Astyanax mexicanus: one gene and its partner. The protein of the gene in region 2 purifies or fractionates together with the protein of the main gene of each other region. This does not show direct contact. Links are inferred from orthologs where the notes say so. Each region holds a gene or a part of one and is shown on either strand. Other genes may lie near its edges.

Region 1 (17,274 bases), on a different chromosome or scaffold from region 2:
ATACCTTGTGTTCGGATGTTCTCGCCGCCACTGATCTCACTCTGTAAGCCTGGAGAAGTTAAATTTGCTTAAATCATTTGTCAGTGTGGACAGGGAATTCTTGGAAACATTCAAATAGTTTAATATTTTTATGAAAAAAGCTAAATAATTAATTAAAGGGACACTAAACTTCCTGATTTTTGGTGACTCCAGGGGGACTGGGTGATGTATGGGTTTAGAGGCAGAGCAGGAGAAAGAGAGCTGATTGGCTGAGCTGCTGTAGCAGCAGCAGTGTGCCTCTGATAGCAGTGAGACGCAAATGGTTGGACATCAGCAGGGAGGCGGTATTATTGATTAATTGATCTGCATATTGTTATGTGTCTGCATACTAAGGTACACAGACACATCATCCATGCCTATACAATAAAAGCATTTTAAAAAATGTAGGCAGGACTCGTATGTTTCATTACTATAAAGGAACATTTCAGCTATCAATGGATATAATATGGTGTAAAAGTGTATAATAAAAGTGTTTACATTATAATAAAAAAAACACTTTTGTTGCATTATTTTTGTTATTTACAGCCTGCAACATAGAAGCCATGCACTTAATCATATACAGCTCTGGAAAAAAATAAGAGACTAAGAGACCACTTAATGATGATGTTTTTCCTTGATTTGACCAAATTAAAAACCGCTGGAATATAATCAAGAGAAAGATGGATGATCACAAGCCATCAAACCAAGCTGAACTACTTGAATTTTTGCACCAGGAGTAAAGGCATAAAGTTTTCCAAAAGGAGTGTGTAAGACTGGTGGAGGAGAACATGCCAAGATGCATTAAAACTGTGACTAACAGGATTATTCTACCAAATATTGTTTTTTGAACTCTTAAAACTTTATAAATATTAACTTGTTTTCTTTGCATTATTCGAGGTCTGAAAGCTCTGCATCTTTTTGTTTTTTCAGCCATTTCTCATTTTCTGCAAATAAATGCTCTAAATGACAATATTTTCATTTAGAATTTGGGAGAAATGCGTTCTGTAGTTTATAGAATAAAACAACAATGTTTATTTTACTCAAACATAAACCTATTTATAGCAAAATTAGAAAAAAATGATTCAGAAACTGAAGTGATCTCTTGTTTTTTTCAGAGCTGTATGTAAATGAATATATGATCAAGGGTGTACGATAGGGCCCTTTATCTCTCAATAAGCTGTGTTTAAAAATTTATGTTTGAACAACGACTGTTTTACCTGTATGTGAGCAGCTATATGGCACATACTGTCTTGTGTGTCGCTACAGAAAACGAATAGGCAGTCTAGTGTTGGGTGTTTTGAAAAACCAAGTGTTGCTAATGAACGAGTAGATATAGCCTATGATGCAAACTGTGCATCAGAGTCATCAAAGACATGCCCTGCAGCACAACGTATGCTGAAGCAGGCAAAGACTGTTTCAAGATATGCAGCAGTACACGACAAGATAAACATATTCCATCTTTTTAAAAGAGTTCACCAGTAGTGCAATCTTCAGTAGATGTGAATATAATAAACACATTTTGGTAACTAAATTACAAGGAACACAACAAGTTAAGATAAATTATTAAAACTTATCATATTGACTTGCAAATATGATGAATTTGACTTTGATTAGTTTGTAGTCTGACAGAATGTGTCATAATCCCTATGAGGTCAATAATAAGACGGCACACTGAACCCAATTCTTGTTCCCCCACCCTTAACTCACCATCATTGTGGTCTCTGGGTGGACTCTTGTCCACTGGGTTCACCTTTACTTGGGTATTCAGTTATATTTGATATACATGTAATTCTGGACTGCCTGTCTACATTGGTGTTGGCCATTAGAACAAGTTACCTTTTTTTTTGTATGCAAAGAGTGATTTTTATGCTGGCTTGAAAACTACAATGCAGTAAATTTGCAGAGTCTCTGCTGTCAGTAGTTTATTGCTCTTTTACAGTGAGATTCTTTACAATGTAAAGCTATTTTTTATGTGGATATATTGTGCTGAAATTAATTGGTAACGAAGACCTCTAACATTTAAAGTACATATGGTTATTGTAAAGAATAATTACTGTTCTATAATGGATGTATATATGTCAAAACGTACTCTTAAAAAGCTTTAATACTCTGTAATTAATCCACAGTATTTTTTTTTATCATATTCTTATAATAGAGTTATATGCTGTAATCTTTTTCCACAGTAATTTTTATCCGCCTGTAACCACAGGACCCGAGTTTAGAAAAGCGAAAGTAAAACATTTTTTTGTGCTTAGACTTATTTATTCATCTGTAATTGTTTTTTTTTTATCATTTTTATTACCTTTGATTTATGACCTTTTCTTATCTATGATTTTATGATTCCTATTAATTTCTTATTTTTATGTGTTTTTGTTTTTTATCTTATTTTAAAGTATCTTGTACAGTATATCTTAATAAAATGCTGGGTCTTTTTATTTATTTATATTTTTCCTTGACATCCGTTCCTTACGTATTGGCTCAGCTACATTGTAAATGAGGGCCACCATCAATAAAGGTTGATTGAGAACATTAGAACACATATTACACAAGATAAGATGTTTAAAATGAAACTCTCTGAATCAGGACACTTATTTTCATGCAATTTGGCTCTGTACACCAGTCAGAAAATTCTGGATTGAGGTTGTTCGATACCTTTCAGACTTAACAGATATTAATATACGACTTTTACCTTCTTTATGCTTACTCGGAGATGATATGGCTTTGGAACCGTTAGAATTATGCAAAAAGAAAAAAAAAATCCCAATATTGGGATTTAAAACTTTAGCTAAAAAAACTATTTTATTAAATTGGCAGTCAAACAAAACATTACAAGATTAAAGTGGTTAAATCTTTTAATAGACTACATCTATTAAAAATCAAAAATTGTTTCACACACTGAACACAATCAACAGCAGTTTAGTATTATTTGTACGGTGGCCGAGAAAGCCCAGCGCAGTGCAAATTGAAAAGCACAAAACACATCCATCAAAATTACAACACAGGCGCAGCAAAAAGAAAAACGCGCTGCAAACAGAACCACAACACAACAGAAGTGAGTCACAACACAACAGAATTTTCCCGGGGGACCTTAAAAGATGCTGTAACAGCTGTGTACAAAGGACCATAAGTGGCAAACAAGCTTCTGAAAAGTAAGTTATGATTATTACCTGTGATTACCACGGTTGTTTGCATATTATTAAAAGTTCTGCTTCACAAAACGCCTTGTTTGCCACTTATTGTCCTTTGTACACATAGTGAAGTCCGAGACGTTACTGAAGACGCAGCTTAGCTGGTACAGCATCTTTTAAGGTCCCCCGGGAAAATTCCGTTGTGTTGTGACTCACTTCCATTGTGTTGTGGTTCTATTTGCAGCGCGTTTTTCTATTTGCAGCGCGTTTTTCTATTTGCAGCGCGTTTTTCTATTTGCTGCGCCTGTGTTGTAATTTTGATGGATGTGTTTTGTGCTTTTGCAGCGCTTTTCAATTTGCACTGCGTTGGGCTTTCTCGGCCACCGTATATTTGGCCCCATTATGAAATCTTGTAATGGCTAGGGGCCGGCCGAGTGCTTCTTCGGCCGCCAGGGGGAGGTCTTGAGCCCCTAATCAGACCCGATCCTCCACCCGTTTTCGTTGCTCCGCCCCATTCGGCGGAGCCTTATAAGGCGATTAAAGCGGCCGCGTCCCAATCCGCTCGCTGGTTCAGCTGTTAGAGCATTGGGCTGCGGCCGCGACAGCCTGGGTTTAATAAGGACTTACATATATATATATATATATATATATATATATATATATATATATATATATATATATATATATATATATATAAATAAAGATATATATATATATATATATATATATATATATATATATATATATATATATATAAATATACACACATAATATAATTGTATAATATTATATATCCTATTAATATATATATTAACGATTATATATTATTATTATTATTATTATTATTATTATTATTATTTCCCTTTTTTCTTGAGTTTACCTGCTTTGAGATCTACTGTTCTGCCACTGGGTTCTACAACTCTCTGGGCTGGAGTGCCACCTATCTGTAGCACTCCAACCCATTACAAATCTATAGTAGTAAAGGAACCGATGGCACAGCTATTTAATTAAAATTTGAGCATAGTAATTAAAAAGACATAACCCCCAAATATTCTATTATTATTGTTTTTTTCTTTTTTTTCCTTTTTTCTGTCTGTTGTTTTTTTTCTCCCTTTCTCTCTTTCTATTAATATATGTCCTCCCTTAGGAATAAATCATTGTTGCAGAGTGAAATAAAGTTTTAGACCTCCAAAGAGGGTGGTGGGTAAAATAAATAAATAAATAAAGGTTGATTGATTTATTGATTGATTAAATGAAGATCGTTATATGGACAAGACAAGCTGTGTGTGTTTGTGCGAATTTTCACACCTATGTGTCACCAGTGGGTGCAATTTTATGAGCGCTGTCCAAAAACATTTGGACATAAAGTATGCCTGTCTGTAATATTTTAAGAATTAAAAAAATGTATCAAAACTATTGAAAAAATAAAACAATATATCAGGAATCAAGCTGTGTATGTGTGTCCAATTTGGTGTGATAACTTAAGAAGCTTTTAAGCCTCTTTGTAGACCTTTCAGACATCTGAATCTATCAATCACCCCTGTGAACTAATCTGACTCGGACACCAGGTGAGTCAGCATTACATAATTACATACATAATTAAAACAAATATAGGTTTCACTGCATATTTACATACTATATACTAAATCTATCTATATCTCAGTTAAGTCAAAACTATACGATAGATCTGTCTCACTGTTTTGGTTGATTGACAGGCTGTTTAAATTGAAATCATTTTTATATGATAATCCTCCAATTGAAGGTCATTACTCTGAAATTCTGGAATAGACGACTGGAAGCAATGACCATGAGCATGAACAATTCAGTCGATGGCGTCCGAGTTTTATCCATTAATGCAGTATTGAGAGACTTAACGTGTGTGTATAATTTATAGAAATGTACTTCATCCAGACTTTACGCCTGCAGTCATGTTCTTCTGTGGTGGAGAGCATAATAAAGATGCTGCTTCTGAGCAGAATTCAGCGGACATCAGGATTCCTTTCAGTTACTCTGAGCAGCAATCCCGCTAAAACATTTCTCTGAATGCACAAGACCTCAAACTGCTCAGTGATTACTCATATGGGCCTCAGACAGAGTTATCAAGTAACTATGTACAAATACTTTGTACTTAAGTAAGTAGAAATGTTGGCTATCTATACTTTAATGGAGTAATTATTATTTTACAGTCGACTTTTTGCTTCTACTTCATACTTTTTCACACACTTATTTAAAAATAGCCTTGTTACTTCTTTTTAATTTCAGCTTGTTTTCATTCCGGCTTCTCATTGTTCAATAAAACCGCAATCCAGATAAATCTCTCCATCCAGATAGAGTATAGAGAATCTGATTGTGATTGGATGTAGAGAAGTATAAACATATACCATTCCGACTCCCTATTGGTTTATACCATCACAGCTGCATACGTCACGTCCCCCCCCCCTCCCCCCCACACACACACACACACAATCCAGCAAGAACATAGCAGACGTATGTAGCCTAGTATGAAGATGATCCGTGCAGAGACGCAGAGTCTCCCTGAAGCTGCGGGAGTCTCCCGCATTTCAGTAGTGGCCCCCTGATGCCCGCAAGTCACATATAATCTCCCGGAATTCAGAACGAGTGCCCCAAGAGCGCACTGCACACAAACGCACACACAGGCGACAGACTTTTTTCTCCAATCGCGTGTGGGAAGGAGAGAGAGAAAACAGAGAGGATTCTCATTGGCCTGTTCTCTGCAAAGAGTCTGTGAGACAGCCAATCAGTTTTTAGTGTGGGCAGGCAGTGTTTTCCCCCCTCCCGGACGGGATTTGTTCAGTGAGTGTGAGAAAGCAGATCATGGCGGAGGCAATATTAATAATTATTGTAATATGATATGAAATATTTTTGATGTTGTGCAATTTTTTTGTGATATTGTAACTGTCATTTTTTGTCAAATAAAGGCTTTTTTTCAAAAAAAAGAAAAAAAGGAAAGCAGAGGCAGGGCCTTCCAAAAAGAAAAAAAGATAAAACTCATTTCATTTCACCTCTGAATACTCTAAATTTAATTTAAAAAACGTAAAATTAATTAATATAAAAGTAAAGTTTCGTTATCCTTTGGTGTGTGTGCGCAAGTTTTTTTTGCTTGTTTGTTTGTTTGTTTTTTTTTGGGGGGGGGGATGGGGGGGGGGGGGGGGTAACCTCCCTGAAATCAACTTTTGCAACTTGGGATGTCTGGAACTAGAGAACTCCAGACAAACTCCAGTCTAACTAAATTTCTTTAATATATTTACATTCTACTAATATACATTAATTTTCAATGGCATTTTTACACCTTACATTACTTTAACGTTTATACTTTAAGTAGTTTTGAAAGCAGTACTTTTACATTTTTACTTACAGAGTAAGGAGCTTGAGTTGATACTTTAACTTTAACTACAGAAGTATTTTAAATCCTACTATCTAAACTCTATACTTAAAGAGTGGATCATTTGGCCTCACATGGGTGAAGCGTGGGCTGGGTGGGTTCCAGGTAGGTATAGGATCTGTTGTTACTGGGTCCCAGTTGAGCATTCCAATTGGGTCCCACTGTTAGAGCCCACCTTAATTTTACATGGGTCTCATCTAGGCCCCAAATGCAGTGTATAACCCAGATATAGCCCATATTTAAACTCTCTTGGACCCATCATTGACATCCTGATGTGTGCCCAACATGGGCCCCATGGACTACATTTTTTGGGATCCAGTTGGGCTTTCCATACAGGCCCCACATGAGCATCGTATTTTGGAAATAATCTCAAACATTACTGACAAATCTATCCTGAAAATCCTAAAAATGCCAAGATGTAAAAAACAAGCCTAAAATGTTGTTTGTCTGCTCCAGAGATTTCTATTCTTTTGGCAGTATTCACTGCAAGTATTAGAAGGGGTGTTCACAATCATTTGCACAAATTGTGTATGGTATAAATATTCGCAATATAATTATGCATGATATAAATATTTTACTGAACTGTTTTCAAGAACTTTTTAAGGAAAATTTTAAAGCATTTCACGTCAGCCGCTCCACATGACGCCTTGGATGGTGAAATCCAACTGTTTCACTGTTTTCCATCTTTCCAAATTGTTGCACTTTGTTCTTGAGGATGATATGGAATGCAACTAGCCGCTGGTCAAAAGAATACTGATGAAGCTATTAACATCTTCAGATTCTTTGAAGTTTTGACTGATCGATCGCAGGGGTTACACTGTTACAACCCGCTACATCATTCCTCTCAGCAGGGCTCTGTCCAACCACCTTAAACAATTCTCACCCAAATACGACTTCAACTAACTCAAGGCTTCATTTACAAAGAGCTCTTACACAAATACTTCAAAGCCCAGACTGACCAGTGAAATTCAGCAGCACGCAGAAAAACAGGCAGCCTATTAAACCACCTGTCAGCAAAACTGGACTGAGCATTCTGTCTGTAGTCGTGCATCCTCTCTCCCTTCATCCTACCAGCAAATAAACAGAAATGCAGCTCTACACTTTTAAAAAGTTAGGTCTAAAAGTGTTCTTTGAGGTGAAGACTCCTTAGACTCCATAGACTCCTTTCAATGTATAGATCTAAACCTGTAAAATGAATCATGTTATCATTGTTACTATATGAGTACATTAGACAATAAAAAAAGCTTCAGTAATATTGTGAGTAAAAGCAAAAGTAAATTGCATTTCTCACGTCCAGTAACAGAAGGAGCACTTTGTGCTGCAGACTGTCTCACGTGACTTGACTTATTAGACTGGTGGCAGAGTGAGGTAGAGTAAAGCAGAGCAAGGTGGAGTGACATAAAGGCAGAGTGAGGGTGATTGAGGTGGACTGAGGCAGAGTGAGGTAGAGCAAAAAAGAGTTAAATAGAGTGAGGTACAGTGAAATATGGGGAGGAGGCATGAAAATATTAAACCAGAGCAAGGTGGAGTAAAGTAGAGTGAGGTAAAATGAGTCAGATGTAGGTAGAGCAATATAGAGTGAGGTAGAGTGATATAGAGGGCGGCAGCATGAGGCAGAGAGATATAGAGTGAGGCAGAGGGAGGCAGAGTGAGATAGATTTAAATAAAAATTGTTTTAATAGTGTGTTACTCTTTAACCCTTTGAGACCCTGAGTACATTCCAATGGGCATCTTGTGTTTTCTTCTTTACTTCATATCCTTTCACATAGCTCAGATTGAGACCTGCTGTCCTTCAGAATATACATTTATCAGCCAGTCAAACATGAGTTCAGCCCCGCCCACTGCACTGGAAAACAATAAAAATATCTACACACTGAAGTAAAGCACAGCTGCATCCCACTTAATGAGGTTTATTTTATGGTTTATTTTACCACTTAGAAATGATTTGTAAAACAAACAATTATATAAAAGATATATAGAATAAGAAAAAAGATATAGTTTTACTTGTTTGTATTACTGGAAATAATTCAGGTCTGAAAGGGTTAAGAAATGGCAATTTCTCTAACCCCGCTCTTCCTTTATTTCGATTTTCCATTTTTTTTCATACTAAACTACAGTGTAATTATTTGAATTGTATTTCATCTATTAGTATGTCTACTTTTAGTATGTCTCCTCAAAGATAAATGTGCTTCTTAGAAGAATTTAAAATAGAAAACATAATCCGGTTTCTTTAACACATTTTTTTAACATTGTTATTTTCTCAAAACAATTCTGCATGTGTTCCCGAATAGCTTTAATATAGTTTTTTTTTAATATTCACCCCGTTCTTTTTCTGCAGTAAAATAACTTATTTGCATTCTGAAAATGTGAGGGCTTTGACATTTCCTACAAAAAACACTTGTGCTGGAAACTAAAGGTTTGGAGGACATGAACTGTTTGATTTGTATTTAGGAAAATATTGATTTTTAAGGAATGTTAACTTTTATTATTATTATTATTATTATTATTATTATTATTATTATTATTATTATTACTATTTATATTGACGTTAAGGGAAGTGCTAACTTCATTTTACAATTACAATCAAAATTTGTAGTAACATTTATTATTAAACATGAAAGCTTTTTATGTAATGCTTCAATAGAAATCTTCAAAATTGAAAATTGACAAAAATGCTGACCTGTTAAGGGGTTAAATATACATTGTAAAAAAAAGCAGAAAAAGAAAACACATTAAAGAAGAGGTGGAGAAGAGGTGTGTCCAGACTTTTGACTGGTCCTGTAAGTATAGCTTTGGAAACACAATTCAAAAATATGAACCACATGATTAAACTCCCGCCATCTTCAAAAAACACACAGTTCAGCCCCTGAGCACATCTAATCCAGAGGTGGCGTGACCACAATAACCAGAACTACAGCCCTTACAGCGTCCTTTAAATACTAAAATAAAACTTACTATAACGTTACACATAATTTAATTAATATAAAACTAATATTAGCAGTGTTTTTAGTGTGAGTTTTATGTTTTAATGGTAATGTAAATCCTTATAAATAGCTGGAGCTGCCTGTGGCTGCTGCTTGTGTGTCTATTAGGACTGAGTTTTGGACCAAACCATTGTGGAAGAGGTGGGGACTGCGTGACCTTGTATAAATATTTGAGTAGTTCTAACTTAATTGTTATTAAATACACACATTTTAAAATTTAACGTCATTTTAAAGGTAAATTATGCGTGGATTTCAAACATTTAACTATGTTAATGTCCGTATTTAAGCGATAACACCAAGCCGTAGTGGAGTGACCCCCCTAAAAAGGGGAGAATAGAAGAGTCCACCAGGCTGCGCTGCTGTAGATAGCTGTGTATGTGGGAGATTTTTGAAGGCGAGCTGAGAGATTTTTAGTTTTATCGTCGGATTTTCTCTTTTTTAAGAGCTATAACCATGTCGGTGGCGTTTGCGCCTCACAGACAGCGCGCTAAAGGCGATATTACACCCGCAGGAATACAGAAGGTAATTGTTTTTAATACAGAAAAGGGGTAACAAACGAAACGGTGGCAATTGGTTTCTATGGAGGGTTGTTAGCCAGGAAGGTTGCTAAGCTAATTAGCTTAGCTATAGCTAGCGTATGTCTAAATATTGTTTTTTGAATCAATGTAATCTTTATTAAAATTTTGTTTTCAAATTTCCTTCTGTTAAACAATCCAATAAACGACCACATATTCTCATTTTAGTATATTTAAATGCGCTAGCTAGTTAGCTAACCTATAGCTATTGCTTAGCTAGCTATGTAAGCTAGCTAGCAAGCTAGGTTAGCTGTACTGTTAGCAGGCTAGCTAGCTAGCGCCTTTGTTAGCTAGTTAGCCCAAAAAACATATAAACGCCTTATTTTAAGAGAAAGTCTGGTCGTGTTTTAGCGTTAATAGACTTTTTACAGTCACTCAGCGTGATAAATTAAGTGGAAAATTCCAGTAAGGTTTCAATAAATGTGCTGTGAATTCACGCTGTAGCAGAAACAGCTCATGTAGGTTAACCTAGCTGGGTTAGGTTAGCTAACTAGCTAATCTACAGCTAATATTAACGTTAATCTGATTTGTTGTCCTTTCTTTCTCTGTGTGTAATTTAACATTATATTAAACCCACAGAGGGTAAATTTGCAATTTTACAGCAGCGCAGAGGAGAGAGCAGCAGTGTCAGGAAATATACATCAACATATAATATATATATATATATAAAAGAAAATAAACATTTAACGTTATATGTACATAACGCTAATAAATAATATCCCAGACCAACTGTTTATCCAGACATAATTCTGTAATAAAAACAGTTTAAAATCCTAATTGTAACATATATGGTACAACAACAATTTAAAGTTTTGCCCTAGAAGTCATGTAAACCTATTATATAAAACGTAAAAAAAATATTAAAGCATGTAAATCGTTCACATGGTTAAAACAGACCTGTAAAAGCAAAAGCACAAGCACTAACCCAGTACACTTACATTCTGTAAATGAGTATTTGCCTTGTTTTGACAGGCAGACAAAATGCATCAGAAGTAGCAGATTCTGCTTTTCAAATGGTCTGTTATGCATAGTGCAGTGATTCTTATTTAAAGAGGAATTTTCACTCTCTGTAATATAATGTGCAGTAGGGTTAGTGTTTAAGTATTGATGGTATCCTTGATATGTTTATTGTTAATGTGTTTAAAAAATTATCACTATGAAAAAAATATCAATGTATTGTCCAGATATATATTTGTAACTTGCAGAAGGACTACACACGCAAGCAAATGTTACATTTTAACTCTCAATCAACTGTGTACAAACAAAAAAATGAAAGGCTTCTTCTGAGAAATTTGTTTTTTACATTTTTGGGGTTTCACATTTACTTAGCTAACTCATCCTTACATAGACAGATCACTGCCTTAAACCATTTTAAATGCACAGGTTATATACAATAATGGATCTATTGAAATAAAGTATAAGATAGAAGTGTATATGCCTAGAACAGTTTTAATGTTATAGCCACTAAAAAAGAGCAAGGCACACATATGAACATTAAACATTAAAACATTGTGAATTATAAAAAAAAAATCTCTGAAGAATGTTTTCATTGGTTTCACATATACCCAGGGTTTAGACAGTTCTGGGGTAGACTTTATTGTCTTATTAAATACTCTGTAAAAAGGTTTAAAAACAGAATGGTGAATGAAACACAAACTTGCTTTTATTGTTTTGTGGACAAGCTTTACCGCCCCACAACCCAATTCTGGATGGCTTTCTACACCTGAACATCTCCAGAGCTTTCCATTTCATCCAAAGAGTTTTTCAGAGCATCATATTCTACTGGCAATGCATTTATTTGAAGATTATACAAATTGTATACACAGTTAAACATGTATATCAGTAATGGTTGCACCTTAATTACTGATTAGATGGGCTGTTCAACCCCTTCTACCCATGCCTTTGCATAATCCCTGTTTGAGAATCTGACCCATAGTGTTTTGAGCATAATTGAGTCCACTCCCACTGGTTGGGTTTGCCTGCCCAGGACAGGAGGTTTGCTTCTCGCACATATAAGCTGTCTTTTCTCTCTTGAACACATGAGGTTTAGGGTTAAATCACATGGTTAGAATTAAAAAAACATGTACAGGAATGAAGACTGTGGGTAACATTTTTTGTTTAAAATTTGTTCAGAGCTTTTTCTGAGGTCAGTTTAAAATGAGTAGAATTAATTCTAAACTTTGTTTCTTTCCAGCTTCTCGATGAAAACAATCAGTTGATTCAGTGCATCATGGACTTCCAGAGCAAAGGCAAAACTGCAGAATGTTCACAGTAAGTTTGTTTTTTGTACATCTTACACCATAAAAGGTTAATGCACTGATATGTTTTTTAGTTTAGAAAAAACGTAAGTAGTTGTTGTAGGTAGGACTGCAATGTTTATTTTGTACTAGAGTTGCACGGTGTACCGAAGGTTCGATTCTTTTTCGATACTACGTCATCACAAACGATTCGGTTCTTTAGCGTTCGATGCTTTCGATACTATATAGCCCAGTCACTAGCTTCAAATGAGTCAAAATAGTAGGCGCGATTTGATTCAATTCATAAGAAAACTGATTCACACCGCAGCAGTCGGTGTGGCAGGATTCAGGTAAACTTAGTGTTCTGAACAAATGAATCGATTCACGTGTGAATCGATTCATTTGACTCGCTTGAGCGACACACGCACGCGCAAGCCAGCAGAGCAGCAGCGAGAGAGAGCAGCGGCGAGTGTAGAATGGCGACGTCTAAAATAACAGATGTCTCTCGTCCGCGACTTGTGGACAAAACGGGCGCGAGGAGTGAAGTGTGGGCAAATTTTGCTTACATCGCTGATGAAGAAGGGAATCCGACCAACACCACAAACCCAGTTTATAAACGGTGTTATAAGTCTATCCAGTGCAGAGGAGGGAACACAACCTGGCTACGCATTTAGCAGACAAGCACCCTGATCTCTACAAAGAGCTGAGAAGTCGACAGGTTAGTGGAGTTAGTCAAGATACACTCTGTCTGTAGCGTTACTAAGATTTACTAGCCCTGGCCCGCCGGCGGGCCAGAAATTTATAATATTTAATATCTGGCTGTGTTTATGAATAGTTATAGGTTCAATATAGACACCCAAAATGCCATTTTAAAGCTTAGAATCTCGGCTTTTCAGTTATCTAGCCCATTTAGCTGGATCTCCTTTCAGAAAATAAACATTTAGGGCGAAATATGCCTTGCTTCTGAAAATATGAAATCATAATTTTCATATTTCCGTTTCTCGTACGTCCATATTTGATCGAATGCGGACATGTTATACACCATTCGAACCGTCTGTCTCTCCGGATTCGCTCCGTTTTACTGTAGGATGTACGGTTCCTGAATTAGAGCTGAAAGAGCGCGTCACAGCGCGTGTTCAGAGTTAAAAGCTGCTTGTTTTTCGCTGCAGGGTTACCTCAGGTCACTCCCTCCACCCCCTCAACCCCCACCAGCGGCTCCCCCACGCTCTTACCTTCAAAACCAGACTTAAGAGAATCCATCAATCCAGTCTCCTGCAATCCCCAATTATATACAAACAGCGCATGAAATAAACTAAAAAATTATAAAAAATTATATATATAAAAAATAATATCCACTTTATCTCCTTATTAAAAGCGTAATTTTCGAGGCTGCATGTGATAACGCACGTGTGGTTAATCTGCAGTCCAAGGAGAACAAGGTTGACAGAAGACCATGTGGACACACTTGTTTTCCTGGCTAAGAACCTTAAACAGGCAAAGAAACTTCCCACAGTGTAGTTTCAGAAAAGAAGAGGTTTTAGTTTTTAGGAAGTGTTTAGATAATTATGTTATAGTTAAGGTTATAATAACGAAACTTGTTTTTTGTTCAAATGTTTCATTTTAGAATAAAAACGTTTGCTCCGATTGTTCAGTGTTCAATACAGTCCAATCAAAAATAAACATTTTATGTTCAGATATTTTTATTGTTTTTTTTCTTCCAAGTATCGTTTTGGTATCGAGAATCGTGATACTACAGTTGGTATCGGTATCGAAGTCAAAATTTTGGTATCGTGACAACCCTATTTTGTACTCTCTTTATCCTCAACAGTTACCAGCAAATGCTTCACAGAAATCTGGTGTACCTGGCCACAATAGCAGACTCCAATCAGAACATGCAGTCTCTTCTACCTGCTGTGAGTACTGACGTTGTTTTTCACTCTGCTGATGTACTTAATAAGGGAAAGCCACACAGTTTAAGTCTTAAACATCATCTAACAGTGGTCTAAGGCAGCAAAGGGGATTTAAAACACATACTCAACTGCTGTGTTTTTCATTACTGGTACTTAGGGCTCCAAACTGTGCACATTTGTTTGTGTTTATTTGTGCTTAAAAAAACGCAATTAAGACCCTGAAGGCTGTTGTTCCTAATTGGTACAGGAGAACCAGGTCTGATTTTATGTACTTTTAAGCTGAGACTGAAATCTGCATTAAATTCCTTCAGTTCACATCCAGTTCCTTTTGATTATTTGGAACATTCAGTTTTTCCCACAGAACTTTTAGAATACTTTCCATGTTTCTAGTAGTCCACTGGCAGTGCTTCTAAACCTAATATCTCTTATAGATAAGAAGCTGATTTGCCTTTTTTTTTGTTCCTACATGCTCTGGCATTGATTTGTAGGCAACCTTGAGCCTGGTAAACTAGCATGCCTCAGTTTATCATGGTTTGTAGTTGTCTGTAACAGTCTGTATTGCAATATGTTGACAATTGTGTCTTCTGTAACCTAATTTGACTTGGTTATTCGAAGTCTGATTAACAGAGTTTCTCTCTCTGCAGCCACCCACCCAGAACATGCCCATGTCGGGGGGAATGAATCAGAGCGGCCCCCCTCCACAGCCCCCCCACGGCCACAGCATGCCGTCAGACGGCCCCCCTGCTCCCCACATGCAGAACCAGATGAACGGCCAGATGCCTGGTAAGGGAGCGCTGTCCCACTCTGCAGCTCTGTCTTCATCTTGCTGTCGCTTAGCAACACTGCAGGCTCCCCTCTGGATGGGTGATGATATCACCCGTTTCTTTGTGCTGTGTGATGTTTTGGATGCACTGTTGCATCAGTTTTGTGTTTATATGGATTTTGTAAGATAAAATACACTAACTGGCCACTTTATTATAACCACACTTCTGTTTCTACACTTGTTGTCCGTTTTTATCAGCTCCTCTGGCCATATTAGAGCAGTTTGTAGTTCTACAATTAGGATCTCACTACTGCAGTGATTCTAGTTTGGGTGTTTCAGATAAAGCAGTGCTAAGGGAGTTTTAAACCGTTGCGATAGTCAGCCACATCGTAGATGTAAAGTCAGAGACAGAGGATCATCTGTTGCAGAACAGTTGATCATGTGTTGGTCATGGACATTGTTCGCAGGATATTTCTGGTTGGTGAAATATTCTCAGTGCAGGACTGATGCTTAGGTGTTTAAAAACTCCAGCAGTACTGCTGTGTCTGATGCACTCGTACCAGCAAAACACATACTACCTCCATATCAGTGTCACAGCACTGATAAGAATGACCCATCTCCCTAATAATACCTACTGTGGTAAAGGGTAAAATGAAAATAATAAAATATGCAAAGAAATGGAAGAACTACAGTTTGTAGGTGGTGTTATTAAAATGGCCTTTTGGAAAATAAATTGATTTCAGAAATAATTTGCCAACATTGACAAATAATTTATTCCCTACTCCTCCATGCAGTATTCTTTCAGCTGCGTTCAAATCAGCCTGTAATGTCGCCATAGGGTTTGACATTTTCACACCTGAAAGAGCAGAATGAGGTTCGAACCAGGGTTTATGTGTTTGTTGCATTGTATACGTTTGGCTTCTCTCTATACTTTACTTTACATTAATGGGTTTGTAGAAGGTTGTGCATCACATGGTGTTGTCAGTTTGGCAAGTTGTCTTTCCACTGTGTTGTGCCGAATTCCACATTGCTTTTAAAACTTGCTTTACATAAAGTGTCTCATTATATTGTAAAACCCTGTATGGTTTCTCTGCAGGCCCCAACCACATGCCCATGCAGGGCCCTGGTCCTAACCAGCCACCCAACATGCAGAGCGGCTCCATGAACATACCTCCCAGCAGCCATGGCTCCATGGGGGCCTACAATCACACCGTACCCGCTTCACAGGGCATCCCCAGCCAGGGACAGATGAACATGAGCCAGGGACAGCCAATGGCCAGCTATGGTCCCAGACCCAGCATGAACATGCAGCCCAACCAAGGTAATGCAGGGCTTCTCAGATGACCTGACTTTATGTTAAGTTAAGATTATTATATAAATCTGGCAGTTGTTATTTACATTGTGGCAATGTCCTGATAAATGAACTTGTAAACACACACTTTTATAATAGAGCATTTTTGCATAAATTTGCATAAAGCATATCTATTTGATTACACTTGAATAATCCTCAATTTTAAAATGTTTTTTTTTTTTTTACTGTGGTTCTCCCAAAAGCTTAAATAATGCACTTTTGAAATATCTGCAACCTGTTAGTCTTTTGTTGTTTCTTCAGGCATGTTAAATACTTTAGGATATATTTTATATAATATATATAATGTAATATAAATGACAAAGATTTACATCTTGTCTGTTTTAATAAACATTGTTTTGTCTTTAGGTCCTATAATGCACCAGCAGCCTCCCTCTCAGCAGTATAATATGCCTCCTGGTGGTGGAGGGCAACATTACCAGGGTCAGCAGAATCCAATGGGCATGATGGGCCAGGGTAACCATGTGATGGGCCAGAGGCCCATGCCTCCATACAGGCCACCTCAGCAAGGTTAGACTTTTTTTACTACCTCCATGCTCCAGCTTAGCTCTGTTGGAAAATATTATTTTTATACTTAGAATGAAGATCAGTAAGATTTGCTTCTGTTTCTGGATTACATGCGGCCCAAGTTTGTTTAACAAACTCTAAAACTGAACAATTTTCTGTTGCCAAAGTGACCCTGTATGCTGTATGTATAATACCGTACATGGATTTTAGGCAATAAAGCACAATACTATAAGCATACTATTAAAAGCTCATCAGAACAGATGCAGGTAAATGGACAGCTCACCTGGTTTCACTAATCACTGATTTAGTGGTTAAAGCTATAGATTAGATTGTTATCTAGTCAAAATGTTTTGCAATTTATTTAAAAATTCTGGTTGATA
Region 2 (16,679 bases):
TTGCTTAATTTTTGTAACATTCTATATTACTTTATCACTCACCTTCTGCATATACAGTATTTAAAAAGTGAAGATGGTATCATTTTTTTAATTAATTGTGATCATATTGACACTTGATTGAGATTGTTTGTGGTGGACAGAAAACTGAAATCTGTTTTAGTGAACCGGTATATACAAAACTACTTAAGAAACATTAATCTCTAACATTTTACTACAGTAAGTAAATTATTTGCATTATTAGACCTCTTTGAAGAATCAAAGAGTGGCTACACAGTCCAACAAATACACAGAGAAACCCCAAATACACAATTAAATTCTGTCCGATACATAGCTTTATTACGAGTGTTTACTCCTTCTTATCTTGCGGTGAGAACTGGATTTCATAAAAAAAAAAATACAAATTGTTTAAGGTCAGAAAAAGCATTTTTATTCTTAAGAATTATCACAAATGTTTGTGACAATAACAAAACCAAACAGCTCCTTTTTATGAACTGGAGTCATTAATGGATACGAGAAATTATCAATTAAAAAACACCCCCAAACTTTTTCCCTCAACACCGGGCAGAGCTTCTGAAAGTGCAGTAATTCTGCAAACACTAATAGACAGGTAAATGGGGTTTTGGCTTCTGACAAAATTCAACCCTGCAAATATCAGCCAGACCCACACACCCTCCCACTTTCACTCCTACTTTCACTAGTTAATATAATAAAACAAAAAAGTCTTCAAACAAAACAAACACCAACATGTGGACAATAACTTGGGTACCCAAGGTGTGGTGTTACTTTACCCAATTCTCAGTGATAAATCTGTGCCTCTGTGATGCAAGTCTTTTATTGAAAACTTCGCGTTGTACACCAATCACTCTCTCTCACAGACCAACCAAAACTGTCAACATGCAGGCACAAGAGTGTAATTGCTGATATAAGAAGTATAGACAGCCGCACATTTTGGTAAATTAATCCTGTCTTTGTGAAAGCACTGTGGTCTGAATGTCACTTTCGGGGGTAAATGTGGCATTAGCCCAATTAATCATTATGTGTACATATACAGGACAGGAGGTGAATCTGTCCCTGCTCTACACAATCATCTCAAGCTGTCTTGCATATTCAATGACTTGCTGGGCCAGCTCTGTGGAAGGGATGGTCACTTCCTCTGTCCGCTGCTGCTGAGAGCTGAAGGAGTAGTAACCATCAGGGCTCTGTGTCCAGCCTCTCTACAGGGATACAACACACAAAAGGTCAAAAAGGTCACTATGATATCACTCAAAGCAACTATACCCTTACAGAAACAGCAAATCACCATAATTTATTTGGCCTAAACATTGGTAAATTCCCCAGTTTTCTAATAGTACCCATACAAAAAAATCCATATAAAAAAAACTGTACACTCACTTTCTTAGCATATTCGGTCATCTTTTTCGGTGAAGAGAAGAAAAGCACCCTTGTGGCCTCGTTGAACTGGATCTGCTCATATGCCTTCTCTATACAGCCCGCAATCTCATCACTAAAAAGAAAGAGTCACAGATTTGTACTGAATGTAGAACCGCACACTCACATTTTATAAATGCATAAATAGTTTGATTAATTACCATTTTAATTTAATGTATACATAGGTTAATGCTAGTGATGCATTATCCATAACCAAGTTTAAGTGTTTTCTACATGTGCCTCTCTGCTACAAAACACCTGATAGTATGAAAATCATACTAATTTATTATTCCAGCTGAATTAGGTATGTCAGCCATGTCTAAAGCATGGGACTGGAATGGGAATTGTGGTCTTAAATCTACTGTGAGTTGTTGCCCTGTGGTTTTCCTGTTCAAACAACCAGTTCACCTCTGAAAAGGTTTAATAATTATTTAATTAGTTGGACCAGGTGTGTGGGAAACTGGGCGGTGAACAGTGGAACTTCACAAGCAGGACTAAAGGTCCTGTCTTAGACCGATTTATTGTCTCAAACACATCTTTGAATGTCAAACCCAAAGGTTTTCAGCCTTCAGGAGAAATAATGGGATCAGCCCCAATGTTCCAATTCTTGAGTAGGGGACTGTACTTAAAATCACTTTAACCACTTTGTTTAAATACATTACATTTATTAGTCCTACATAAACCCTAAAAAACCATGCTGGCATTAGAGGAGTTACTACTGAAGTACTGCAACAACAAATTATCCTTACCGGATAGTGTCGAGAAGAATGTCTATGAAGAAATTGTAGCTCTCAGCAGGAATGTTTCCTTTTGCAAGAAAGACCTTGTTGTAACTACCTTCCATCAAGTACTGGAAAAGAAACCAGACACAATAAGTTACCACAGGCAAAAGAGTATACAGAATAGAAATGGGACTGGCCCAATCCAATATTGATTCAGCCTCGGTAAATAAATAATTCCTTGCTGCTTTGACTAAATAAGATTTTTTTTTTTTTTTTTTTTAGATATTTCAGTGTAGAAATGAAATAAAGAAAGACTTGTTACTCGCACTGAATTACACCATTTAGTCTGTTTAATCAGCATCTGCCACGATTTCATGATTGTTTATGCTAAAAAAGCTGTAATGACTAAGCTAGTTAGTGAAATTAGCTGTTTCAAGTAAAATGTTGCTTGTTTAAATGTATTTTAGTCTGGGAATGCCGAAAAGCAACACTGTTGTAGTGTATGTATTTTCTAAAAATACACTAAACTTCAGCTAAGAGTAAAGAGATTATATGTATATATATATGTTATTTTATCCTTTTTTTCAATTACCAGTAACTGTCTTTAGTGGAAAATAGTGGATTTCACAGCCTTTTGGTAAATTTACACCCTATGGAGATTCTGTTTAAAAAAAAATACTCTAAAATGCATTTAAATTCAGTGATTTCATCTATATTTTTCATCTGTACTTAAGTCTATTTCAGCATCGGCATCAAGCACAACACAAACAATATTTGTGATAACATAAAAAAGTAAATAAATAAAAACATTAAGTAAAATAAAAAAAAGAAAGATGTCTTAAATGTGTATTAGAATTAAATGGAAAAAAATGTGGATCAGCCTATCATAATTACAACATGTGTACTGACCCACATCTGTCACAGTTCTTCACACTCACCTGCTCTAATGAGACTGGATGTCTAATGTACACATTGGTCTGAATGTCCTTAGCACTGAGTCTCTCCAATTCTGTGTGAAACTCAGACACTCTGTTCTGGGACAGCAGGAAGAGCAGGTTGAGACCCAGCAACTGGTGCATGTACGCTGACTCTGGTAATTCATCCCTGTTTAAGATATGATGACCAACTGTTATGAACCAATAGAAAATTCTATCATGCCAAAGGTTTACTGTTTCTTATTAAACACCACCAACCACAAATTACAATTCTACATACTGGTATGCCAGCAAGGGTAATAGAAAATAAAGGAGTTAAAACTTTCTGATATGAAAGTAAAAATTACTTGTAATCAAAATAGTAACACTTCAGCTGAGCCATGTATCGTTCAAAAGAGGGGATGTCTTTCTTTAGGATGCTCCACAGTGCGCCAATCTCCAGCACATCTCCTGCAAAACACAACAGCTGAGTGTTGAAATTCACCATTGCTAAAAATACATATATTTTTATATGTCTTCCAGGAATATACTCACGGGCCAAGATCAGCTGCTGTTTGGTGAGTTTGGTCCCAGTGGTTGGCAAAAAATTAAGTTCCAAAAGAGATATCTGCAAATCAAATATTTAAAAAGCCTTTAAAGGGTGATGGTGATCAATGATCACTTAACATTTGGTGAAAGCAAATGGAAGAAAAACAACACTAGAACTCAGGGATCTGTATAACAGTGAAAGTAAGACCTTTTCTACACACTCACAGGATTGGGACAGCTGTCTAACATCAAGAAAACCAACATTAATCAGTGAGGCTACCCATCAAAAACGACTTCAATTCGCAAGAGATCATAAAAATACAAGAAGAGAAAGAGAAGCAGCTGAAGTGATGCACCCAACATGCTTAGTGCCTACCTTACAAGCCAGTGGGGGCATTGCAATAATCTGGGGTAGCTGAAGGTGGTCAGGTCTAGGTTCAGCAAAGTTATTTATGTGCCAAATGTGTCACCTGACTACCTAAATATACTGACCTACCAGGTTATTCCACTAATGTATTTTTCTTCCCTAATGGCACAGGCATTTTCCAAGATGACAATGACAGGATTCATTGGGCTCAGATTATTCAGGCAGCATCAGACATCATTTTTACACACGGATTGTCTAAAGTGCTGAACTCCATTGAGAATCTTTGAGATGCTGGAGGAGACTTTGCGCAATGGTGCAAATATGAATGTTGTGACATTGTAGAAATAATAAAAGCTTAATTCTATATATATACACTGCTCAAAAAAATAAAGGGAACACTCAAATAACACATCCTAGATCTGAATGAATGAAATATTCTCATTGAATACTTTGTTCTGTACAAAGTTGAATGTGCTGACAACAAAATCACACAAAAATCATCAATGGAAATAAAATTTATTAACCAATGGAGGCCTGGATTTGGAGCCACACACAAAATTAGAGTGAAAAAACACACTACAGGCTGATCCAACTTTAATGTAATGTCCTTAAAACAAGTCAAAATGAGGCTCAGTATTGTGTGTGGCCTACACGTGCCTGTATGACCTCCCTACAACGCCTGGGCATGCTCCTGATGAGGTGGCAGATGGTCTCCTGAGGGATCTCCTCCCAGACCTGGACTAAAGCATCCGCCAACTTCTGGACAGTCTGTGGTGCAACGTGAGGTTGGTGGATGGAGCGAGACATGATGTCCCAGATGTGCTCAATCGGATTCAGGTCTGGGGAACGGGCGGGCCAGTCCATAGCTTCAATGCCTTCATCTTGCAGGAACTGCTGACACACTCCAGCCACATGAGGTCTAGCATTGTCCTGCATTAGGAGGAACCCAGGGCCAACCGCACCAGCATATGGTCTCACAAGGGGTCTGAGGATCTCATCTCGGTACCTAATGGCAGTCAGGCTACCTCTGGTGAGCACATGGAGGGCTGTCAGCCCTCCAAAGAAATGCCACCCCACACCATTACTGACCCACTGCCAAACCGGTCATGCTGAAGGATGTTGCAGGCAGCAGACCGCTCTCCACGGCGTCTCCAGACTCTGTCACGTCTGTCATGTGCTCAGTATGAACCTGCTTTCATCTGTGAAGAGCACAAGGCGCCAGTGGCGAATTTGCCAATCCTGGTGTTCTCTGGCAAATGCCAAGCGTCCTGCACGGTGTTGGGCTGTGAGCACAACCCCCATCTGTGGACGTCGGGCCCTCATACCATCCTCATGGAGTCGGTTTCTAACCGTTTGTGCAGACACATGCACATTTGTGGCCTGCTGGAGGTCATTTTGCAGGGCTCTGGCAGTGCTCCTCCTGTTCCTTCTTGCACAAAGGCGGAGGTAGCGGTCCTGCTGCTCGGTTGTTGCCCTCCTACGGCCTCCTCCACGTCTCCTGGTGTACTGGCCTGTCTCCTGGTAGCGCCTCCAGCCTCTAGACACTACGCTGACAGACACAGCAAACCTTCTTGCCACAGCTCGCATTGATGTGCCATCCTGGATGAGCTGCACTACCTGAGCCACTTGTGTGGGTTGTAGAGTCCGTCTCATGCTACCACGAGTGTGAAAGAACCACCAACATTCAAAACTGACCAAAACATCAGCCAGACAGCATAGGTTCTGAGACGTGGTCTGTGGTCCCCACCTGCAGAACCACTCCTTTATTGAGTGTGTCTTGCTAATTTCCACCTGTTGTCTATTCCATTTGCACAACAGCACGTGAAATTGTCAATCAGTGTTGCTTCCTAAGTGGACAGTTTAATTTCACAGAAGTTTGATTTACTTGGAGTTATATTGTGTTATTTGAGTGTTCCCTTTATTTTTTTGAGCAGTGTATATATATATATATATATATATATATATATATATATATATATATATATATATATATATTTTTTTTTTTTTTTTTTTTGGCAATACAGTGTGTATAACATAACACATACACACACATATATATATATATATATATATATATATATATATATATATATATATATATATATATATATATATACATATACACACGTGTGTGAGTGAGTGTATGTTACACACATACACACACATTACTCAGCCAAATGTCGCCATACATATCCAGCTGTATTAGACTAATAATTACGAACTAAGCTAATGTTAAAATGCTGATATAAGACTTAATTAGTTGATTGGGTTCTGATTGTGTTGTTCCAGTGGTCAGGTCTAAATATCAATTATTTAACTATAAGTTAGCTCAAACAGAGCGGCGTTCATTATCTAGCTAATTTGTTAACTCAGCTGACTGCACAGCTTGTTAGTAACACTACATTCATTATATTAAAAAAACACCGCATTATTTCACAGAAATAACATATAAATATAGGAGGTGCTCCATCAATCAGCTGTTTATAACTAATTAACTGAATGTATATCTCAGATAAACACAAACAGACAGAGCTCGGTGTTTAGCCCTTGGCTAATCGCTAACTGCTAATGCTGCGCGAGCCGCGGCTCCGCTCCCCGAAAACAGTAATAAACGCGGGTCTCGTTGATCTATCCGGCTAAACAGAGAACTGCCCGCTTTACCTTCAGCTTGGTGAGGATCTCTCCGCACTTGTTGAGGTTCGGACTCTTCTTGTTCCACTCGGTTTTCAGGGTTTCATACAGACCCGCGGTCTCTCTCAGAACAGCCGCCATGGTGATTCTGCAAAACCCACGACACCGGCCGCCTGGAATACGGCCTGCTACTGTCGTAAAATGCTGTTGCTATGGACACGAGAGGTCGTTCCCAGACAGCTAGAGAGGAAAAGACCCACTTGACGGGTTTGTAACTAACTTAATGGACAGTAGAGGTGTTCTGTTAAATCACAAAGAAATTGTTGACCAATTTGATTTGGATTGTACTCACAAAGAATATCTGAAATTGTGTAAAGCCATTCCTGTGGCTTTGATCCATCTGATACAAAACATTTTACCGCACTCTAGTGTTCCTACCCAAATTCACAAAAGGGGACGGCAACTTAACAGATAAGAAGTGTGATAATATTGTTCTCACAACTGCCTTTAAATCTAAATTGTTTAAGCACTATGACAAAAGAATATCTGCAGCGGTAGATCCAGTCATTGCTGCAAATCTCCACATCTTAAGTCATCTCTACACATCTTAAGTCCGTATGTGCCCAAAAAATATCCTCACATATTGCCAAACTCCTTTTGTTTTGAATGCTTGCAATTTTTTTCCCTTTTGCCCTACACTGTTGTATGTGCCTTTTTCTATTTTCCCTACTTTAATGTACTTTGCACCAAGATTTTGTATTCAATGTTATAAAATAAAAATATTTATATACAAAAAACAGTATAGAGCAGTGAATCTGGGATTTTTTTTGAGTAAGAGGCCACAATATATACAGAGGGACCAAGTATTATTTTAGCAGTCACACCATGATCAAACACTTTAATTTAATTAAAAAAAAATGCATTGTGAAATCTATAGAGTTAAATTTACACAAAACATTAAATCTGCCATCAAAAATAATTTTAAGAATCAAAAGGAAAGTGTATGTTGAAAATTAAAAACAGAAAATATATATATCAAATATGTTTTTTTTTAAATATACTTGGTTACTTTATTATTTTATAGTTATTTGAATGTGGCTTTTGCCAGTCTTTGCGTTGTTTAATTACCCAAATGTGTCATATCATAGTAAACTGCTGTCTCATGACTTAACAATGTTATTTTTCCCATAATTTCCCAAATTAAAAGATAAACTCACTTGAGAATCTGATTCCTTTTTTTTGTCCACCAGAGGGCGCCCCCGATTAAGTCCAAAATGAATGAGTACATATAGAGCAACTGTGCAAGTTTATTAATGTTTAATAACTTTTATACAGAATATTTGTTCAACAAAGAACAATGTTTAATGCATTTAAACACCAGTTGTTATTAAACAAGCTCTGGCTGTAACTCATCAGCTTACTGCAGCAGTAACGCTAACAACTTTCTGCCTAAAATAATTTTGCTGTAGAAAAACTGAAAAATATAGTTTTTTTTTTAGCAAAATACATTATTCTACTTTACAAAATTAAAAGAATATCTATGCAAAGTGGATTAACTATTTTAAATTCTAATTTTTAGCCGTTTAGCTCCATTCACCCCCCATTCATTTTAGACTCTCGCAGGGCCTGTCTAGCAGTTCACAGGTGAAAGGATAAAGTGGGTAGGCTCAAAGTGGGTTTTAAATACTGCCATGCTAAAAGAAATCCAGCTGGTCTAGAATAGGCATTATAATTGGAATATTATTCATAGGCATTTTCTTCATGAAGAACTACCAGTTCCACACCATGTATAGAAGAGAAAAAAAATTACGATTAATGTTTTTGCGTGACAGCTACATTATACAATGAATAATAAGTGTGTCTCACTTCACTTCAGTTTTCTGCGTTAAGAATTTTTTGTTTGCACCTATTCATCAAAACAAATTCATCAGACTAGCATCTGGTTTTGTCCAGTCCAGTAAACCCCAACCAGATGATGGACAACCTGCGGGTAAAAACAACCTGGTCCGTTTTTTTAAGTTCCAGAGCTCAGAGAAATAATATTTTGCTTTCTTACATAGAAAAAAGGACCACACTCTCATTTAAAATCAGTGGACTCATCCTTTTCTCCTCTTAATATCTTCCGTTCCTCACCCAATCAGGGAACACTCAGATATTTAGGATAACTCCAGCCTCATGAATTATTTTTGATGAATAAAGTGATAGTGGGTAAATAACCCCAACACATCAATTGCTGTAAAAATATATATATATCCTGGCTTCCTGTTATGAGATTCTGACATCCTGATTGGCTGATATATTCTTCTAAAGATGATTACATTTATCACTTTCTGAACCTTCAATAACCCTGTTAATATGAATGACTTCAAGGGTTATTTTTTTCTAACACAAAATATTCAGATACAGGTGATCCAGTTATAAGGTAACGTGTTATAAGGTAACGTAAACAATAAATGTTTTTGTCCATGAACCTCAAAAAAGAACCAGACCACTTACAGAATGCATTAATTGAGTAGACGAGAGTAACAACATCATTTATAATTATACAATTATGCATGTTCTTTTCTGTGCAGCGTGTTAAAATATATGTTTTTTTTTGTTTTTTTTTTTTGCGTTAGACCACATCTCTACTATAGACTATTTTATGTAGAAATGTTCTGTGGCGTAAAATAGCTTATATATGCCTTTAAAAGTCGTCCCTGCAATCTGTTTTAAATTTTGCAGTTTAATTATGGAAGAAAAAAATCCAAAACAAAATAATTCGCCGCTCAGGAACCGAAAGAGTTGACTCTTTTTGGTGAGGTGAGTCGATTGATATGAATCACAAAAAAGATCCATCAGTAGCCCATTTATTTATTTATTTTTCAAAGCCGTGTGCCAAAATAAACTCTCGCAGGCCACACCCAACCTGTACACAACTTCAAACTCGACCTATCACAGGACATAAACAAAACTATAGGACACGCCCCCTTTTAATCCCGTCACTCGGTACCCATCCGCTCGGGTCCTCCGTTCTTCACGACAAAACGGGATATAAATAATAAACGGGATCAGATCCCGCCCTCGGTGCGAGATGTTTAAAAACAGGTCCAATCGCGCTCCGCAGTGTTTCAGCAAAAATAGCTCTCCATGCCATAATGGGTGCCGGACCCGGGTCGGAGCCGCGCGCTCAAACGCCTGCTGATTATTCTGACCGCTCCACTTTAATGGGGTTGTTTTGTGCACGCGCGGCCAAGAACCCCGTTTTCATGAATTTAGCAGCTGCGCTTAAGCGTATACGTAACAAATGAACGAAGAGATCGTTTAATAAACGTGTAGCAGCAACAGCTTCAGGCTTGAATCCGAGCCTGGGTTATTAGGCTACGCCTTCACACAATAAAAAATGCTGTTTTAAAATGAGGGCACGAGCTCTCTGAGCACCGAGCACACATAGAGTGATAATTTTTAAACATCAGGGCGGGCTGTATCCGCGACCTCGGTCCTACAGCTGATTGGTTTATGAACAGGCGAACGCGCCGGCCCCCCGTTTCCTGCTTGTGCGCTCTGTGCTTGGGTCCTGACTGGGAGCCCGTGCAGGGCCGTTCCGGAGACCCCGCGCTGCCTGCACCTCTACCGTCTCGGGTGAGTTTGTTACAATGTAGCATTTTCTCTTTTAATCTCAAAAACATCTGCAAAGCTGCAACATCTGCATGCTGCACACCGACCCCCGAACCCGCCCGAAGCCCCCCAGTCCGCCCGGTCCTGCACGAGCCGGAGAACGGGTGGATTTAACAGCGAATTCCCAAGCACCCCCCCCCCTCCCGTTCCCCCGTTCCCCCCGGTCCCGGACTGTTCCCACATAAACTCAGCTTTAGCTCCGAGGATAAAGATACCAGGGTGCGCAGCTCGCCTCGGCCCGCCGAATCCACAGCGCCGCGGTCCGAGCTCCGTGTGGGCCTCGCGGGGCGGCCGTGTAACACACGTACACGCAGGCGGGTCCAGTTATTGTAGTCAGATTTATCTGCTGCGTCTGAACCTGGTAGCAGCGCCGAACTGCCTTTGCTGCTGCTAACAGTGCTAACAGGCTACAGCTGCTGCTGCTAGTGCTAACTGGAACCGCTGCAGAACCGCGAGCGAGGAGAAACCCCGCGCCCTGCGAACCCGCCTCTCCACCGGCAGCTCTCCCCCGGTTCCCCGGGCCGAGCGGAGCGCTCCCCGCGGGCCGCTGTTTCGGCGCTGTTTCTAGCGGAGTTGTGGTTCCGCACATAGCTAAACCCGAGCTGCGGAGCTCCGGAACCTCCGTCCATGTCCTGAACCCTCAGCAGTGGGATGCTTTTAGGTGCGTTACAGGGGGGCTGGGCTGGGCTCGGTTCGGTTCTGCTCGGTAATGGAGAGTTTATATATGTTTCTGCCCTCAGTTCCACACCGTGTTTGCAGTGCTTGGGTCAAGTTTACCCTGGACCCTAGAGAACTAACTAACTAACCTGTGGGACTGAGAGCAGAACACTGAGCTCGAGCTGATGTTGGATTTAGCACAGGGCTTTTAGGCTTTAATGGTTTAAAGGTTTAAAGGGGTTTAAAATGATTTTAAGGGTCAATAAAGTTTCTGTGCGCGTGTTTCTGGAGGTTTGTTTTGAGTGCGGGTTTGTTATGAGTGATGGTGAAAGAGCGCGCTTTCCCTCCTCCAGCTCTTCTTACCAGTGCGACCAGTCTCATACACATACTGGACTACAGGAGCTTATTTATTTATTTTAGGAGTATTTATCAGACTGAACTGATGGCCTTGTTTTGATCTCCTTCTTAAATCTGTGTTTTGATTGGCTCAGCTTGAAATAATACTTGGAATGCAATTTTGTTTACCCAAAAGTAAATACAGTGTGATTTACTCAAACGTATCAATACTTTTATCTTTAGTCATGAACATAAAGTCGGTATGAAGTTGATCTGTAAGTTCTGTAAGCTGTTCTGTGGTCTATGGTGTTTTTTATTTATATGTTAGGTGAGGAGTGAGGATAGGCACTGTTTGTGAGCTACAGGTAAATTTTCTCTATAGTTATCACTTAAACCTATAACTTTAGATATCATTTAGATTTTTATGTTTAATATTTTTTTAACAGCAACATTGTACAGTGTTATTTTAAGATATTCAGGTCTGGGTTTGATACCTCTATGCTCATGGATTAACATTTTGTAAATCTGGTTATCATTTGAAATCTGACATTTTAATGTTTGGTACTTTATTTGCGTTTGTTGATATGTGATAGCTCTTCCTATAAAACTGTAAAATAGCATGTGGTATTTTTTAACACAAATTAGTAAAAAAACGTTATTAATCCTGTTTAAAAGGGTTTTAATGTTGATATACATCATTAATAATTTTTGTAATAGTTAACTATACATTGCTTTTATATTGGAAAAGTTTGTATTGTTAAACACTAAACAACGTTTGTGATTTTTAGTTGACATGGATGATGAAGATGGCAGGTGCTTGCTAGATGTTATATGGTAAGTGTACCGTTCTTTTCACCCAACCAAATCTAGAGAATTGCATGCTAAATATTGAATTATTGGATCAACATGGTGGTATATTTTGGTCTTCTGATTTGATTTTTTTCATTTTGCAGTGACCCTCAAGCTCTCAACGACTTTCTTCATGGATCAGAAACACAAGTGAGTAGTTCCTGGTGATGCATCATATTAGAAAGTGTTGGGATGTTAGATTGATACAGTCCTATCAAAAGCCTCTCTTTGAAAACACACACGCACATAAACACTACTCTGACGTTTGTACATCACGTTAGCTAAAATTGCTCAGCTTGTCCAGCTCCTCTCCGGTGATGGTTTCTGTCTATTGAATGGTTTGTTCTGCTGATTTCCTGTCAACTAAAGCAGCACCTCCTACCTCATCCCTCATCTTTCCTCTTTTGTTAAAACACAAATACGACGTACTAATCTAATGTTTCCTGTCTTTTGACTCCTGTTTTACCTGTTTAACTGTCCCGTTGCTCACTTGCGCACAAACTGTGTGCTGTGCTTTTGTGTTCTGATGGATCTGGACACTATCTTCACTTTGCTTTTCCTTTGCCTTTCCACCTTTGGTCCTCTGCCCTTCTGCATCTTCTCCCTGACCCTTCTGTCTCCTTGTCTGTGGCGTGGCGGTTTGTCTATCCTATCTGGGGTATGTCTGTCTGTAGCTGGACACTGACGACCTTTTGGATGGCTCGAGTGACCCGTCCAGCTCTTTCTTCTCTGGTACTGGGGTGAGTATTGTCCCCCATTTTTCCCCACCCTTTCGTGTACATCCCATTACGTAGCATGCTTTCTCCGCTCCCGACCATCAGATCCGGTGCAGAAGTACTGGCAAGTGTCAGAGGTGAATCAATAAAGCTGTCAGGTCCTTTGGTGTATTGGAGGTCTACCATCCCATAGCCATCCCTACCATTCCCCTTCACCCTTCTCACCTTTTGCATGAAACAGTGTTCACTTGCAAACCATGGCTTTTCTTTCTTCTCTAGGGACACGTTCCTGAAGTCCAGCCACCGGCTCAGCTATCGACAAGCGAGCCATCTGGGCTGCCCAGAGTCAGCGTCGATTTGGACTTCCTGGAGGACGATGACATCCTCGGAGGCTCACCAGGAGGAGGCGGAGATGGTGGGAGCAATGGCGTTGACTCAAATCACGAACCATGTGACATTCTGCAACAGAGTCTGGCGGAAGCTAACATTACAGAACAGAGCCTTCAAGAGGCGGAAGCTGAGCTTGATCTTAGCTCTTTCGGGCTAACTAATTTGACACAGGTAGTCCAGCCTTTGCCTGATACCAGTAGTTTGCCTGGGGTGGGCATTGGAGGAGCTACACAGATCTTTCCCAGCCAAGGTTCCACTACCACTCCCTCCACTGCGACCACAGATATGCTTGGTTCAGTTCTGGCTCACCCGGGCCTGCAGATTCAACCACAGGTTATGAACAAGGCCATCAGTGTCCAGCCATTCATGCAGCCTGTCGGGCTCGGAAATGTAACCCTTCAACCCATTTCAAGCCTTCAGACTCTACCAAATGGAAGCCAGTCGGGACATTTGGGCATTGGACAGATTCAGGTTGTGGGCCAACCCACTGTAATGACTATCAATCCATCTGGCCAGCAGATCCTGACTAAACCCATGGGTAGTTATCAGCTGCATCAACCTGGGCCAGAGACTGCAGGTTCTGGAGCCCAAACTGGACTCGGAGGTTCTGTGCTTAGCTCTGGAGGGGGACTTTTGATTCAGGGAGGCAAGGCTACACTAGGGTCCCCATCTTTGAATGGCCCTGCTGTCTGTGTTAGCACCACAAACACCAACAGCAGCGGCACTGCAATGGCCACACCAAGTGGCATAGTGGGATTTAGTGGTGCTGCCCTAAGCACAGGGATCGGATCTCAAACTCAACCTCAGCCACAGAGCCAAATTATGCAGAATGTCATCATCCAGCGAACACCAACTCCAATACAACCCAAACCTCCGCAAGGTGGCACCATACCACCCAAACTCTTTAAACAACAGCCACAGCAACAACAACAACTTCCAACCCCACATGTATTACAGAATGATGCCAGTAAGGCTCTTGGAGTGCAGCAGGTTCCAGTGTCTGCTGCTCAGAATGTAGCCTTCCTAACTGGCAAGCCCGGTTCAAACGTTGTCTTGAGTACCCAGGCCACCACCCAGGGGGCACAGTTCCCCCAGGCTCTGTTTAAGTCGCAGGTTGCTCCGGCATCAGGCAAACCCCTTAGTGTCCATTTACTAAATCAACAGGGCAGCATAGTCATTCCCTCTCAGGCTGTCTTGCAAGGTCAGAACCATCAGTTTCTTCTCCCTCAGCTTCAGGCTGGAGGACAGATCCTGGCTCAGCATCCTGGGGGTCACATTATCACCAGTTCGGGACCAAGTGGACAGATAATCGCTGCTAATCAGATTTTAACAGCTAATCAGAACATCAATCTTAGCCAGGTTTTGGCCTCACAGGGCCATCCTGGTGCTGCCCACATTCTCTCTGGGCCCATCCAGCTCCAGCCTGGACAGATGGGCCACCCTACACTCTTCCAGATGCCTGTCTCCTTAGCCCAGACACAGAACCAAGCGCATCCAGTGACGGGACACGTTCAGACGGTTATACAGGGCATGCCTATCCAAAACTCCTTGTCAATAGAGGGACTAAGCCCGGCAGTCAGTTTGCAGCCAACCCTTCAACAGCAGGCTACTGGCATTCCCACCAACAGCAGCACTGGAGCAGCAGCAATGGCACAGTGCCAGCCTGGGGAGAGCATCACTGTGCTGGGTAGCTCAACTGAGCAGGCTGCCCAACCGCAACCCCAAACCTCCATCCTGACTGTACAGACGGCTCCATCTGTTTCGGCGCCAGCATCGGTTCCCTCCTCTTCAGCTCCATCCTCTACAGTGGTGACATCTGCGCCCTCAGTGACGACGCTGGGTTTGGGCCACCAGGCCCAGCACAGTCCAGGAAAGGTGTTGTTCACACCACCAGGCCCCAGTATGATCCTCGGTCAAGAGTCCATGCAGATGTTCCTGCAGCAGGTCAGTGTGTGTTTTTTTTCCTCTGTTTTGTATTTGTAGTGTGTAGTATTCATTAAACTAACGTAAACTGCAGATAATAAAACTAACCTGTGATCAGGACCACATTCAGTAGTCAGATATAGCAGAAACGTAGCATTCCGTGCAGCTGTACAGGTCTGCACCTGCTTTGGGTATGTATTTTTACACTGTAAAAACCCTGCTGAATGTGCTCTGCTTTGGGTTACTGTTGTAAGTGTCCCCTCCTGAACTGACCAATCTGCTCGTGTCAGGACCAGCAGCATCAAGCAGGGAAAGACCCGCCCGCCTCTGTGGGCGTACCTGCATCTGTTATCGTCAGCGGCGGCGGCAGCTCTGGTCCCGCCCCTGCAGGCCATGACAACCCGTTAGCTGAGACTCGCCCGGGGCAGAGTCCGAGCCCCTCCCTCGGCCCCGCTCACATGGCAGCATTGGTTAACAAGGTAGATGAGCTTGTGCTCTGCACTAAGCCCCACCCACTTGTTGCTGGCACGGTCACATACTGGAACACCCTCTCTCCTAGCCAAGCTATACCCTTCCCTCCACACATACACACTCCCACACACACTCTATCTTGACCTTCCTGTCTGCCAGACCTTTCTGCTCAACACCAGATCCCCTGCTCCGTCGCTGTGCCACACTCCTGCTGCTTCTGTTATTTTATAATCTTTAGTATTTGTTTCCTCTCCTCACGTCTGCGCTTATTTTGCTAATGTGGAGTGGGTATCGAGTAATTCAAAGAATGGTGCCTTATGTGCTTTTTCACAGCCTCTTTTTTTCTATGTTAAAAGATGTATTACTGTTTGGGAAATGACCTCATGTTTAACATTCAGTTTGTATGTAAGAACACCTGTAGAGGATCTCTCCGAGGTATTTTAGATTCATTTTCAAAACTGTAAAAGCTTCATAAACATGTGCACACAATTATATATTTTTTAGCATGCAGATGAGTATACTGAATGTTCTTTCAACGAATGTCTGTATTTCTTTAATAAATGCACTGAAATATCACAGAAGTCAGATATTGAAGTCTAATAATTAAAATCTGAGCCCTGAGAAATGCAACGTCCTCCCCATTTTCTTCTTTCCAAAAAAACTGACACTAAAAAACGTGATCCATATGATTTGTGATTGATTGTGCCTTCACAGATTTATAGAATAGTTTACAAATCAAACATGAGTTCATTCACCACAGTCTTTTACTTTTGTTTTTTTTTTGTTTGCTTTTGTTGGAATGTTCTTCTTAAATAACGTTTTCATGCCCAGTACCCAATCACGCTTGGTACATTAGTAGTATTAATCAGTCTGTGCTTTGATTTTGTGCACAATATGGTTTTCTGTTTTTTTTTTATTGTTAATGGTAGACAGGAACCTTAAAAATGATTGATAGCTCGTTCACTTTGTGTGAATGAATAGTCAGTTGTGGTATTTGTTTTGGAAGAACACCTTGCCTCCTTTATTAACAGCTAATTTATACATCTTTAATTATACTACTCATCCCCCC

The links.
Region 1: the proteins of bicra (region 2) and ss18 purify together in Homo sapiens (affinity purification with mass spectrometry; 3 studies listed by BioGRID and IntAct, counting the BioPlex papers as one, with this or other methods). This does not show direct contact. The link is inferred for Astyanax mexicanus from reciprocal best matches to the Homo sapiens genes BICRA and SS18.

The regions. Positions count from the first base shown.
Region 1 is NC_064415.1:10,637,505-10,654,778, forward strand, and holds the start of ss18 (protein SSXT), read left to right. Parts: upstream 1-9,876; 5' UTR 9,877-9,986; coding exon 9,987-10,055; intron 10,056-12,302; coding exon 12,303-12,379; intron 12,380-14,173; coding exon 14,174-14,258; intron 14,259-14,899; coding exon 14,900-15,038; intron 15,039-16,114; coding exon 16,115-16,339; intron 16,340-16,735; coding exon 16,736-16,897; intron 16,898-17,274. UniProt on the Homo sapiens protein: Appears to function synergistically with RBM14 as a transcriptional coactivator. Isoform 1 and isoform 2 function in nuclear receptor coactivation. Isoform 1 and isoform 2 function in general transcriptional coactivation.
Region 2 is NC_064416.1:29,312,463-29,329,141, reverse strand, and holds the start of bicra (BRD4-interacting chromatin-remodeling complex-associated protein), read left to right. Parts: upstream 1-10,422; 5' UTR 10,423-10,919; coding exon 10,920-10,929; intron 10,930-10,956; exon of another isoform or gene 10,957-11,626; intron 11,627-12,049; coding exon 12,050-12,095; intron 12,096-12,214; coding exon 12,215-12,260; intron 12,261-12,784; coding exon 12,785-12,850; intron 12,851-13,105; coding exon 13,106-15,160; intron 15,161-15,429; coding exon 15,430-15,618; intron 15,619-16,679. Other genes in the region: psmd8 (26S proteasome non-ATPase regulatory subunit 8), read right to left, coding at 1,077-1,214, 1,393-1,504, 2,178-2,278, 3,089-3,254, 3,433-3,535, 3,620-3,692, 6,642-6,752. UniProt on the Homo sapiens protein: Component of SWI/SNF chromatin remodeling subcomplex GBAF that carries out key enzymatic activities, changing chromatin structure by altering DNA-histone contacts within a nucleosome in an ATP-dependent manner.